2 linked regions of the Mus musculus genome follow. The protein of the gene in region 1 binds, or shares a complex with, the protein of each later gene. Links are inferred from orthologs where the notes say so. Each region holds a gene or a part of one and is shown in the gene's direction. Other genes may lie near its edges.

Evidence for each region.
Region 2: Meaf6 (region 1) and Brpf1 share a complex: the UniProt entries of both Homo sapiens proteins name them as parts of the MOZ/MORF complex. The link is inferred for Mus musculus from reciprocal best matches to the Homo sapiens genes MEAF6 and BRPF1.

Annotation. Positions count from the first base shown.
Region 1 is NC_000070.6:125,101,371-125,106,437, forward strand, and holds part of Meaf6 (chromatin modification-related protein MEAF6), read left to right. Parts: intron 1-1,468; coding exon 1,469-1,661; intron 1,662-2,059; exon of another isoform or gene 2,060-5,067.
Region 2 is NC_000072.6:113,316,218-113,321,284, forward strand, and holds part of Brpf1 (peregrin), read left to right. Parts: intron 1-310; coding exon 311-473; intron 474-842; coding exon 843-974; intron 975-1,330; coding exon 1,331-1,459; coding exon of another isoform or gene 1,460-1,477; intron 1,478-2,194; coding exon 2,195-2,504; intron 2,505-2,820; coding exon of another isoform or gene 2,821-2,823; coding exon 2,824-3,144; intron 3,145-3,450; coding exon 3,451-3,735; intron 3,736-4,216; coding exon 4,217-4,364; intron 4,365-5,067. UniProt on the Homo sapiens protein: Scaffold subunit of various histone acetyltransferase (HAT) complexes, such as the MOZ/MORF and HBO1 complexes, which have a histone H3 acetyltransferase activity.

The DNA of each region.
Region 1 (5,067 bases):
TACTCAGGATTGCCAGAGGCAGGGGAAAACCATGGGGGGTCGTGCCTGTAATCTCAGCGTCCTGGAGCTGGGGCTGGAAGACGGGAAGTCCATGTCTTAGTAGGCAAACACAATGGCTAAGCCAGATGCCTTGAGTCTGATCCGAGAGGTGACGGAGAGAGCCGAGCCTCCCAAGCTGTTCCCTGACCTCCTTTTGCTTGCCGTGGATATCATTTACTTTGCATTGCTGTCAGTAGTACCGTCACCAGGGGAAGTTTAGTTTGGCTTCCTTTATGGTGCGAGAATGGGTTCCCCGTGTAGGAAGCTGGCTGATTCTATTTTGTCACACTTGAAAGAGAGAGTGAGCAAGAAGTGGGGCGAACCTCTGCCCACTGAGCCTGCCCTTAGTGGCATACTTTCTCCTGCAGGTTGTACACTCTCCCAAGCAGCTCCACTGCCTAGGGATAGGTGTTTAAAGGCCTGAGCCTGTGGGGACAGGCCCATTGAAACTACCCTGCTGTGGCACCCTCCCTCCCCCGAACATACACATAAATGAGTAAAATGAAATTTTAAAAAGATAAAGGGGTGGAGCTGGAGAGATGCAGTTGTTAAGAACGCTTGTGCTTGTTCAGAGGACCGTGGGTCAGATCCCAGTGCCAGTGTCTGATGCCGTAATACCAGCTCCAGGAGATCCGATGTCTTTTTACTTCTGCAGGCACCTGCACTCCACTGCTTATAACCCTACCCGTGCACACATACACATCGTTTCAAAATGAAGTAAATTAAAAAGTTGGGGGGAAAAGTTCTGGGGTATCCTCTGAGACCTAGGAAGTTCACGGCCCAAGTTCCCATGAGACAATCTCTATCTTCCCTCCAAAAAAAAAAAAGATCCAAGACGGCAGTAATCAACGGATGGACTGGACGCTGCTCCCCACTGGGTACCACCTTCTTTTTGCTTTTTAAATTTATTTTTTTAAATGGTCTGTATGTGTCGGGCAGGGCAGGGTGTGGGGTGTGTGTGTGTGTGTATGTGTGTGTGTGTGTGCGTGTGCATGTGGGTGCAGGTACCCAAGGAGGCCAGAGGTGTCGGATCTCCTGCCGCTGCAGTTCCAGTGGGTGAGCCTTATGACATGAGTTCTGGGAGTTAGGCTCGGGTCCTCTGTAAGAGCAGTGCCTGCTTTTAATCTCAGAGTCATTTCTCCAGCTCATCCTCCACCAACTCTTCACTGAAAGGCAGGATTCTCTGACCGTTTGTCAGTTCTGCCAAGGCGTAACCCTTCCTCTCTTCAGTGTGCTCCATATTGAAATGGCCCTTAGTGCTCTGAGTTGTGGTCAGGCTTGTCCCCCGCACTGCTGCAGACCACGTGGATTTCAGGGGTTTCCTAGCTTTGATACTTTGAGTGCCTGTTCCCCGTCTTCTTTGTTCCATGGCCCGTGGGGACTTGAGGAGTCCTGATCTGGCTTTTGGGACCTGTTTTCGTTCCTCTAGGGGAACCAGGAAGTGGGACGGAAAGCGATACTTCTCCAGACTTCCACAATCAGGAAAACGAGCCTGCGCAGGAGGACCCCGAGGACCTAGACGGCTCCGTCCAGGGAGTGAAACCTCAGAAAGCCGCCTCTTCCACCTCCTCAGGAAGCCACCACAGCAGCCACAAAAAACGGAAGAATAAAAACCGGCACAGGTTAGTGGCAGGGTCCCACCCAGAGTCCTCACACATGCTGGGCGGGGCTTGGTTGGAATGAAGGTGCCTGGGACAGTGACAGAGTCCTCATGTTGCGGGTGGCAGACATCCTTCTGGTGCAAGTAAAGTGGGGTGGTGTCCTCTGAGGGGTGGAGGGTGGCAGTAGAGAGGCCCTGAAGGATCCACGGGAGTCACTAGGATGGACCGTGACTCCCATTGTCCTTTGCTAAGAGGAAAACAGGGAAATTAGAAAGGAGTCCTTGAAAGGACGACTCTGGTTGTTGGGAAACCGTGACCTGGGATAGAGGGTCCTGTCTGCTCCCGTGGGAGCTGAGGTGACATGCCCTTATGACTTTTTAAATACGGGTTTTGATTGTTATGACTTTTCTATTTTGTAGTTCTCTGAGTACGCTGCCTTCAGATACGGGGAAACACTTAAAGCTCCTCAGTGCGAGCATCCCTCCCTCCGTAGGAACCTTCTGAGCACTGTTACTTTTGCAGTGGGAAGTGAGATGGGAATGACACCAGTGGACAGAGAGGTCAGGTGTCTCAGGGGACTTAGTGGCCGCTCTGCCTGGGTTTGTATGCTACTGCTGGGCCTTAACTCAGAGGGGAATAAGTACCTAAAGCAGGGCCCTCCCCATCCTGGTGTTGGAAGCCTGAACACTGTGGGGTCAGAGGGGTGCGCAGGGCTGTGTGGGGCTGGCTCCCTATCCTCTGGTTGGCTAACGAACTATGTTGCTTTAGAAACCCGTGGGGTGTCCCCTCCTGCACCTAAGGTGTTACACTGTGAACTTCACAGACCCGGCACTGTGGATATTGTAGAATTAAATTTAACTGGTTTGAACCTCTTTGGCATCAACAGATTCTTGAATTCTTTTAAACTTTTCTTGTTTTTTTTTTTTTTTTTTTTTGCTTTCTGTTTTTGTTTTTGTTTTTGTTTTATTGCAGAAATAGTGTTTTCTCCCTATAAATAGTGATGAAGGATTATTGCTTTATGGTTTTTCTGCAAACCTAAAACCACTGTGCTACCTCAAACTATAGTGAGAAGCAACAAGACTTGTCCCCTCCCCCATGGTGAGACTGTAGGTGATTGGAGCACTGTGGCAGGCTTAGGGCCAGTTTATCGCAGACAGCAAAGAGCCATACTCTCTTTCTTTCTTTTTTAAAAGAGTTATTTATTTACTTATGACTGCTCTATCTTCATGCACACCAGAAGAGGGAATCAGATCGCATTACAGGTGGCTGTAAGCCGTGGTTGCTAGGACCTGAACTCAGGACTTCTGGAATAAGCAGCCAGGGCTCTTAACTGCTGAGCCATCTTCTCAGCCCAGAGAGCCATACTCTTGAAGAGTATTTTATGGGTTGGGAGATAGTTCAGTTTGTAAAGTGCTTTCCCTGCAGGCATGAAGACCTGAGTTCTACTCCCAGCACCCACATCAGAGCACTCAGTGAGTTGTATGTGTACATAATACCAGCATTAGGGACCATGAGATCTTGGGGGCTTGCCAGCTAGCCAGGCTAAAAGAAGTGATGGGACCCTTTCTCAAAAACTATATGAAGGGACACCTGCATCAATCTCTGGCCTACACACGTGCAGACACACACACACACACACACACACACACACGCATACACACATACACTGACACATGTATATATACCTCACACACACACACACAGAGGGAAGATAATTATTAAGTGTTTTTTAAGATTTATTTATTATTTATGTGTAAGTACATTGTAGGTGTCTTTAAACACACCAGTAGAGGGCGTCAGATGTCATTATGGCTGGTTGTGAGCCACCATGTGGTTGCTGGGATTTGAACTCAGGACCTTTGGAAGAACCGTCGGTGCTCTTAACCGCTGAGCCATCTCTCCAGCCCCTTAAGTGTTTTCTTGTATGTTGATTTTTTTTTTTAATTACATTTACTTTGTTTTCATTTTGGTGATTCTTTTCCTATTTCAGAGTGTCTAGAGCAGGGAGAACATTCTTGAAAGTCTCTCGGGACGCTGCACCCCTGACCAGTGTTCTCTTTAGACCCTGCTGGTTACGTGCGACACCCCTGACCATTTGCACTAGTGATGTGACCAGCTGCTGACTGACAAGAGGGTGCTAGAGAAGTGTTCAGTTTAACTTTGTCCTTGCAGGTTTCTAGAACATTCCTACGAGCATAACACTTCTTCCTTCTCCCCCAGGTGTGAAGCCCCTCCAGAAACACAGTAGCATTTGAAAGACCATCACTGGGCACTGCCCTCATAAGAGGCGAGGCCTGCCCAGAAGGTGGACTGGGTTATTATAGTCAGAATTCCTGTCCGTTCTGATCTCCTCCCAGGCCTAATGTGCTCACTTGCACCCCACCCCACCCCACCGCACCCCAAGAGACTGGTGCCACCAAATTGCTCTTTCTGAGGAAGCGAGGGTCAGGACTGCCCTGGGTGGCACCTCAGTGGGCTCAGGTGGTTGGAGTCCTGTGACCTCTGCACACTCAAGGGCAGGGCAGGAGCACATTTATCTGGACGCGCTGGCGAGCCGCACCCAGAGCAATGCTTTCTTTGCAGCATGAGGCTGGTGTAGCCAGGCCGTGTTCACAGGACGCTCGTCAGCAAATGGCTGACACTGTTGAGGAGAAACAGAAGGGAGCACTGGAATTTACCCTCTTGTGGGGTATGAAAGCTCACCAAGTGATCCCCTTCCTGGGCTGGAGATGGAACCCAGCTTCATGTATGCTAGTCACATGCAGATGATAGGTTTCCTGAATTCTTATATTTTACATGTCTGAACGATAGTTAAAGTCCCTCCACCCGAGAAGAATAGTTAAGTCCCACTGTCTTTAAAGAGAAGGAAGTAAATACTGACTGCTTGTAGAGCTCTTCACTTTTACCTTGCACCAAGATTTGTTTTTGTAAGGTGTTGCTTATCTGTTTTTAAGAGTTTTATTCCAGAACCCTGGCTGGCCTCAAACTAATTTCTTCTGCTTTAGCCCCTTGAATGCTGGGATTGTCAGGGATTACCATGCCTGCCACCAATCCCCAGTTGAGCTAAATAGGTACACTTTTATTGACGTATGCATCTATTGCCAACCCTGGAGGTTGAACGCAGCATGTAACTACCAGTGAGCTCCACCGGCAGCGGATGCTGTCTACTTTAGTTTGTGAAGGTTGAATCAGTTTGAAAGGAACACGTTGTGAGAGTCCTGCTTGTGCACTGGTGTGTGTGTCTGTGTGTGTGTGCGTGCGTGTGTGTGTGTGTGTGTGTGTGTGTGTGTGTGTGTGTGCGCGCGCGCGCACGCACACGCGCGCCCAGGAAGGTCCTAAATGAAACAGTGTAAGCAGTGCATAAGCTCGGCTCCCGAGGCTCTCACAGACGTGGTCTGGCAGAGCAGCCACTGGAGTATGGTCTTCC
Region 2 (5,067 bases), on another chromosome or scaffold:
TGCTGAGCTCAGTTTCCTCTCTGCTATGTTGTGCCACTCAAGGCACTTTTAATTATGCCTTAAACCCAGAGTTCCAAACTATTCCTTTTTGCGACAGAATCTCCTGTAGGCTGGGCTTGAACTCCATAGTCAGATGTGACCTTGAGCTTCTGGATCCTTTTACCCTCACCTCTAGGTTTCTGGGATCACGGTGTGAGCTACCATGCCTGATTTTCCAGACCTTTTTGATGAGCATCAATGCCCCCACTCATCCTAATTGAGGAGCTCTTCCTGGCAGTCAGGACCTAACAGGGTTTTATTTTGTTCCCAGGCTCAGTAAGATCACCAACCGCCTGACCATCCAGAGGAAGAGCCAGTTCATGCAGAGGCTGCACAGCTACTGGACTCTGAAACGACAATCACGGAATGGGGTCCCACTACTCAGGCGCCTACAAACACACCTTCAGTCTCAGAGGAACTGTGAACAAGTTGGGGTACCGTGTCCAAATCCTGTGGGCTGTGGAAACTAGTACTAAAAGGGCAAGGACTAAAATGTGTAGCAATATCCTCCAGCATCAAAGAGCTTACAGTTTTTCTAAGTTAAATTAACATCCCCACCCCATTGCAGGCTCAACATGAAATGTGTATATTATCAGCTTGGTAGAAAGGCATTGTTCCTGTAGGTTCATTAATTCAACAAACATACCAAGCATTTTCTAGGTTCTAGCCCCTGGCAACACGTGAATAGTGGTGCTTTGGTAAATTACTGGGTTTCCTCCTTGGCCTAGGTTTCCTGGGTACTCCTCTTCTGGACTCTCCTCTGGCTTTCTTACCATTTTCTGATGCCCCTTTTACCTCTACAGAGAGATTCTGATGATAAAAACTGGGCCCTCAAAGAACAGCTCAAGTCCTGGCAGAGACTGCGGCATGACCTGGAGCGAGCTCGGCTGCTGGTGGAGCTGATCCGCAAGCGAGAGAAACTAAAAAGGGAGACGGTGAGTGCTCCAGGGCCAGTCCTGGTTCTCAAAGTAGAACACGTCCTGGAGAAGGGAAAGTGTATGGCCAAGAGCATCAAGGCCCATACTGGCATTCTGAGTTCCAGCATTATGTGCTTTTAGGCCTGTCTGTGGGAGGCCAAATGTTAAAGGAGATTGCACAAAGTCCAAACCTCTGTGACCCAGGCAGCTCAGGCCAGGAGTTAAAGGATCGGGGACCAAAGTAGATAAGGACAGCTTTCTTTCATGGGGTCTGAATGAGAAAAGCATGTTCCTAAGCCAGCAAGGATCATCTCCTTTGACCTCTGCTGAGGGACTGGCCAGGACCTGGCTGATCCAGCCTTTTTGTGTGTCAGATCAAGATCCAGCAGATTGCCATGGAGATGCAGCTGACCCCTTTCCTCATCCTCCTCCGAAAAACCTTGGAGCAGCTCCAAGAGAAGGACACAGGCAACATCTTCAGCGAGCCGGTCCCTCTGTCTGAGGTAACCGAATTGGACGAAGTAAGAATCCCTTCCCCTCACTCCAACTTCTTTTTCTTCCTCTCCCAGTTGGACCCCTCCCTGATGCAGGTCTGACCCCAGGACTAGGTTGGGACCTAAGTGTAAAGGGTTTGGTGGCTCTGGGGCAGAATGAACTGAGCTACATGTGTCACCTCGACTCTTGTCTATCCTTACCCCACCCCAAGAACTCAGAATGGAAGCCCATCTGCACTCCTTCCCCAGAGTCTGCCAGATCACAGGGCAGGAAGATGCTTTCAGGGTGTGCAACCCTAGAATAGAAACTTTAGAAGACTAAGAATTTAAAGAGCCAACTCTGAAGCCCTAGGTTGACCCTTCTTTCTGAAATGAGACATTTGAGGCCTTACCACAAACCTTATGACAAACAAGAACAACAATATACAAGATGGTATAATTTTTAGAGAATTCTCATGATTTTTTTTCTCATTAAAGCTGCCAGTGGCCAATAAATATATTTGCCTGCATTTTTATTACTATTTCCAGGAGAGGAAAATAAGGCCGAGGAAAGTTAAGAGACTTACCAAGGTCACACAGCTTGTGACTAGTAAAGCCAGAACTAGAACTTCCCCTTGTACTACATGCCTGCCTCTTAACTATGGTGGGAGGTGGTTGCTAGATGCATTTTAGGGGGGCTGTTAAGAGTAGGGTTTGGGAGAATGAGAATAGATCTCCACTTAGACACTTACCCTGCTCTCCCAGGTACCCGACTACCTAGACCACATCAAAAAGCCCATGGACTTTTTCACCATGAAGCAGAACTTGGAGGCTTACCGCTACTTGAACTTTGATGATTTTGAGGAGGACTTCAACCTCATTGTCAGCAACTGCCTAAAGTATAATGCCAAGGACACCATCTTCTACAGGGCAGCAGTGCGACTCCGTGAGCAGGGTGGTGCTGTGCTCCGTCAAGCCCGGCGACAGGCAGAAAAAATGGGCATTGACTTTGAGACGGGCATGCATATCCCTCACAACCTGGCCGGAGATGAGGTCTCACACCACACTGAAGATGGTGGGTGATAAGTCATCCGCATGTATTGAGGGCAATGCTGTAGAGATGGACAGCTTTCCTAAAGTCCCTGGGAGCAGGCAATATAGGCAGAAAGCAGCTGGGCTGAGGAACAGCAAGCTCTCCCCAGGAATGCTCTCCTAAAAGCCAGACTGAGTGAATGGATGGCTGGGCCACCACTCTACATACTAGTGCTGCTGTTTTAACAGCTGTTCTAGGAGAAGCCAATGGGAAGAGTGGGTTTCCTCTTGCCTGCCCAGGTTCATGGGGCCCAACGGGCTGCTTTGAGCCTGACTTTTCTCCCCCCAACTCTCCCTAGCAGTAGAGGAAGAACGGCTGGTCCTGCTGGAGAACCAGAAACACCTGCCAGTAGAAGAACAGCTGAAGTTGTTGCTGGAGAGGCTGGATGAAGTCAATGCCAGCAAGCAGAGTGTGGGCCGCTCTCGGCGTGCAAAAATGATCAAGAAGGAGATGACAGCATTGCGGCGGAAGCTTGCTCACCAGCGGGAGACTGGCCGGGATGGGCCTGAGCGTCATGGCCCCTCAGGTCGGGGCAATCTGACACCCCACCCAGCAGCCTGTGACAAAGATGGACAGACCGACAGTGCTGCAGAAGAGAGCAGCAGCCAGGAAACAAGCAAAGGTCTGAACCCTATAGCAAGGTGGACCCCGTAGCAAGCCAGATTTTACCTCTGTAGCATGTACTCAGCCCTGCTGTTCCCAAGCAGAGGCCCTGCATGGCTAGCTGTACTTTCTTCTTCGTTACCCAGTCAGGGGCTTCTTAGCTACCTCTCTGGCTGTTGGTATGAGTTGTTCTAAATCCCAGGCCCCAAAATCATCTCAATTTTAGATAATGATTCTATATTCCCAGGGTGTGACCCTGGACATCTACCCTCCCTTCTCATGTCAGGCCCCTCACCAACTCTCCTTCTCTCTCTCTCTGCTCCAGGCCTGGGTCCCAACATGTCCTCAACCCCCGCACATGAGGTGGGCAGGAGAACCTCAGTTCTGTTCTCCAAAAAGAACCCGAAGACAGCTGGACCGCCCAAGAGGCCGGGCCGGCCCCCAAAAAACCGGGAGAGCCAGATGACCCCCAGCCACGGAGGCAGTCCTGTGGGGCCCCCTCAGCTCCCCATCATGGGCTCCCTACGTCAGCGCAAGCGGGGTAGGAGCCCCCGGCCCAGTTCAAGCTCAGACAGCGACAGTGATAAGTCCACAGAAGATCCCCCAATGGGTGAGCCTCATCATCACCCAGCCCCCAGTTCCCCCTCTCCCCTGAGAGTGAGCAGAGCTGCCATTCTCCCCAGCTTATTTCCTTATAATAGACAGCTGAGGAGTCTTAATTTCACCTCCTCGTCTTTCATTTGTAAAAACTGAGGCCCAGAGATACTACCCCGCCAGATTCACAGCCACACCCCTCCCCACCATCTCTTGACGTTTTCTCTTCTCTTCTGTCTTGGGAACTTCCTGCCCTTTAAGCCTTTATGTCTTTAGGCCAAAGGAAGGTGAGGTGAGGGTCAGGAAAGACCTTTGGCCAGCTGTGGTAGAACTGCCCAGAGCTATCTCCGCTGGCCAAAGCTGAAGGAAATTTTCAGCCCAGAAAGAGAACCCAAACTCTTGATTTCATCTTACCCCCCCCCCCCCGCCCCCCATGCTGGCTCTGATCTACATCTTCCTGACCAGTTGGTTCCTTCCCTCCTCCTCTTCCCTCTAAGACTTACCAGCCAATGGCTTCAGCAGTGGGAACCAGCCAGTGAAGAAGAGTTTCTTGGTGTACCGTAATGACTGCAACCTTCCCCGAAGCAGCTCAGACTCTGAGTCCAGCAGCAGCAGCAGCAGCAGTGCAGCCTCAGACCGGACCAGGTACCATTCCTACAGATGGGAGGCAGGCTGCAGGATGCCTTTACAGGTTTTCCCACTGGAAGTTGGGTTGCAGCCATTTCAGTCCAAAGGAAGGAGTTCAAACCCAAGTATCCCTGTAAAATAAATAGATTAGTCATCCTAACAGAACAGAAGATGCTGTCATAGGTTAAGTAGATGTTTTGGAGCAATGCAAACTGGTGCCCTGTAGCTAGGATTTAGCCATCAGACATACTTTATTTTGGCCACTAAGATGTTTTTAAAAACTGAATACAGGCTGCTCTTCCAGAGGACCCTGGTCCAATTCCCAGCACCCACACAGTATAGCTCTAGTTCCAGGGAGATTGGATGCCCTTTGCTGGCTTCCACAGGCCCTGATACACAGACATGTACACAGACATACATGCAAGCAAAATGCTTATACAGATAAAATCTTTTTAAAAAACCCAAAAGGACAGAATTACATTTACTTAAAAAGCAAAAACTGGCCGGGCATGGTGGCACATGCCTTTAAATCCCAGCACTCAGGAGGCAGAGGCAGGTGGATTTCTGAGTTCGAGGCCAGCATGGTCTACAAAGTGAGTTCCAGGACAGCCAGGGCTACACAGAGAAACCCTGTCTCCAAAAACCAAAAAATAAAAAAAAAAAAAAAAAAAAAAAAAGGCAAAAACTGAATCCACATAAAATTCTCAGACTCTATGTTCTC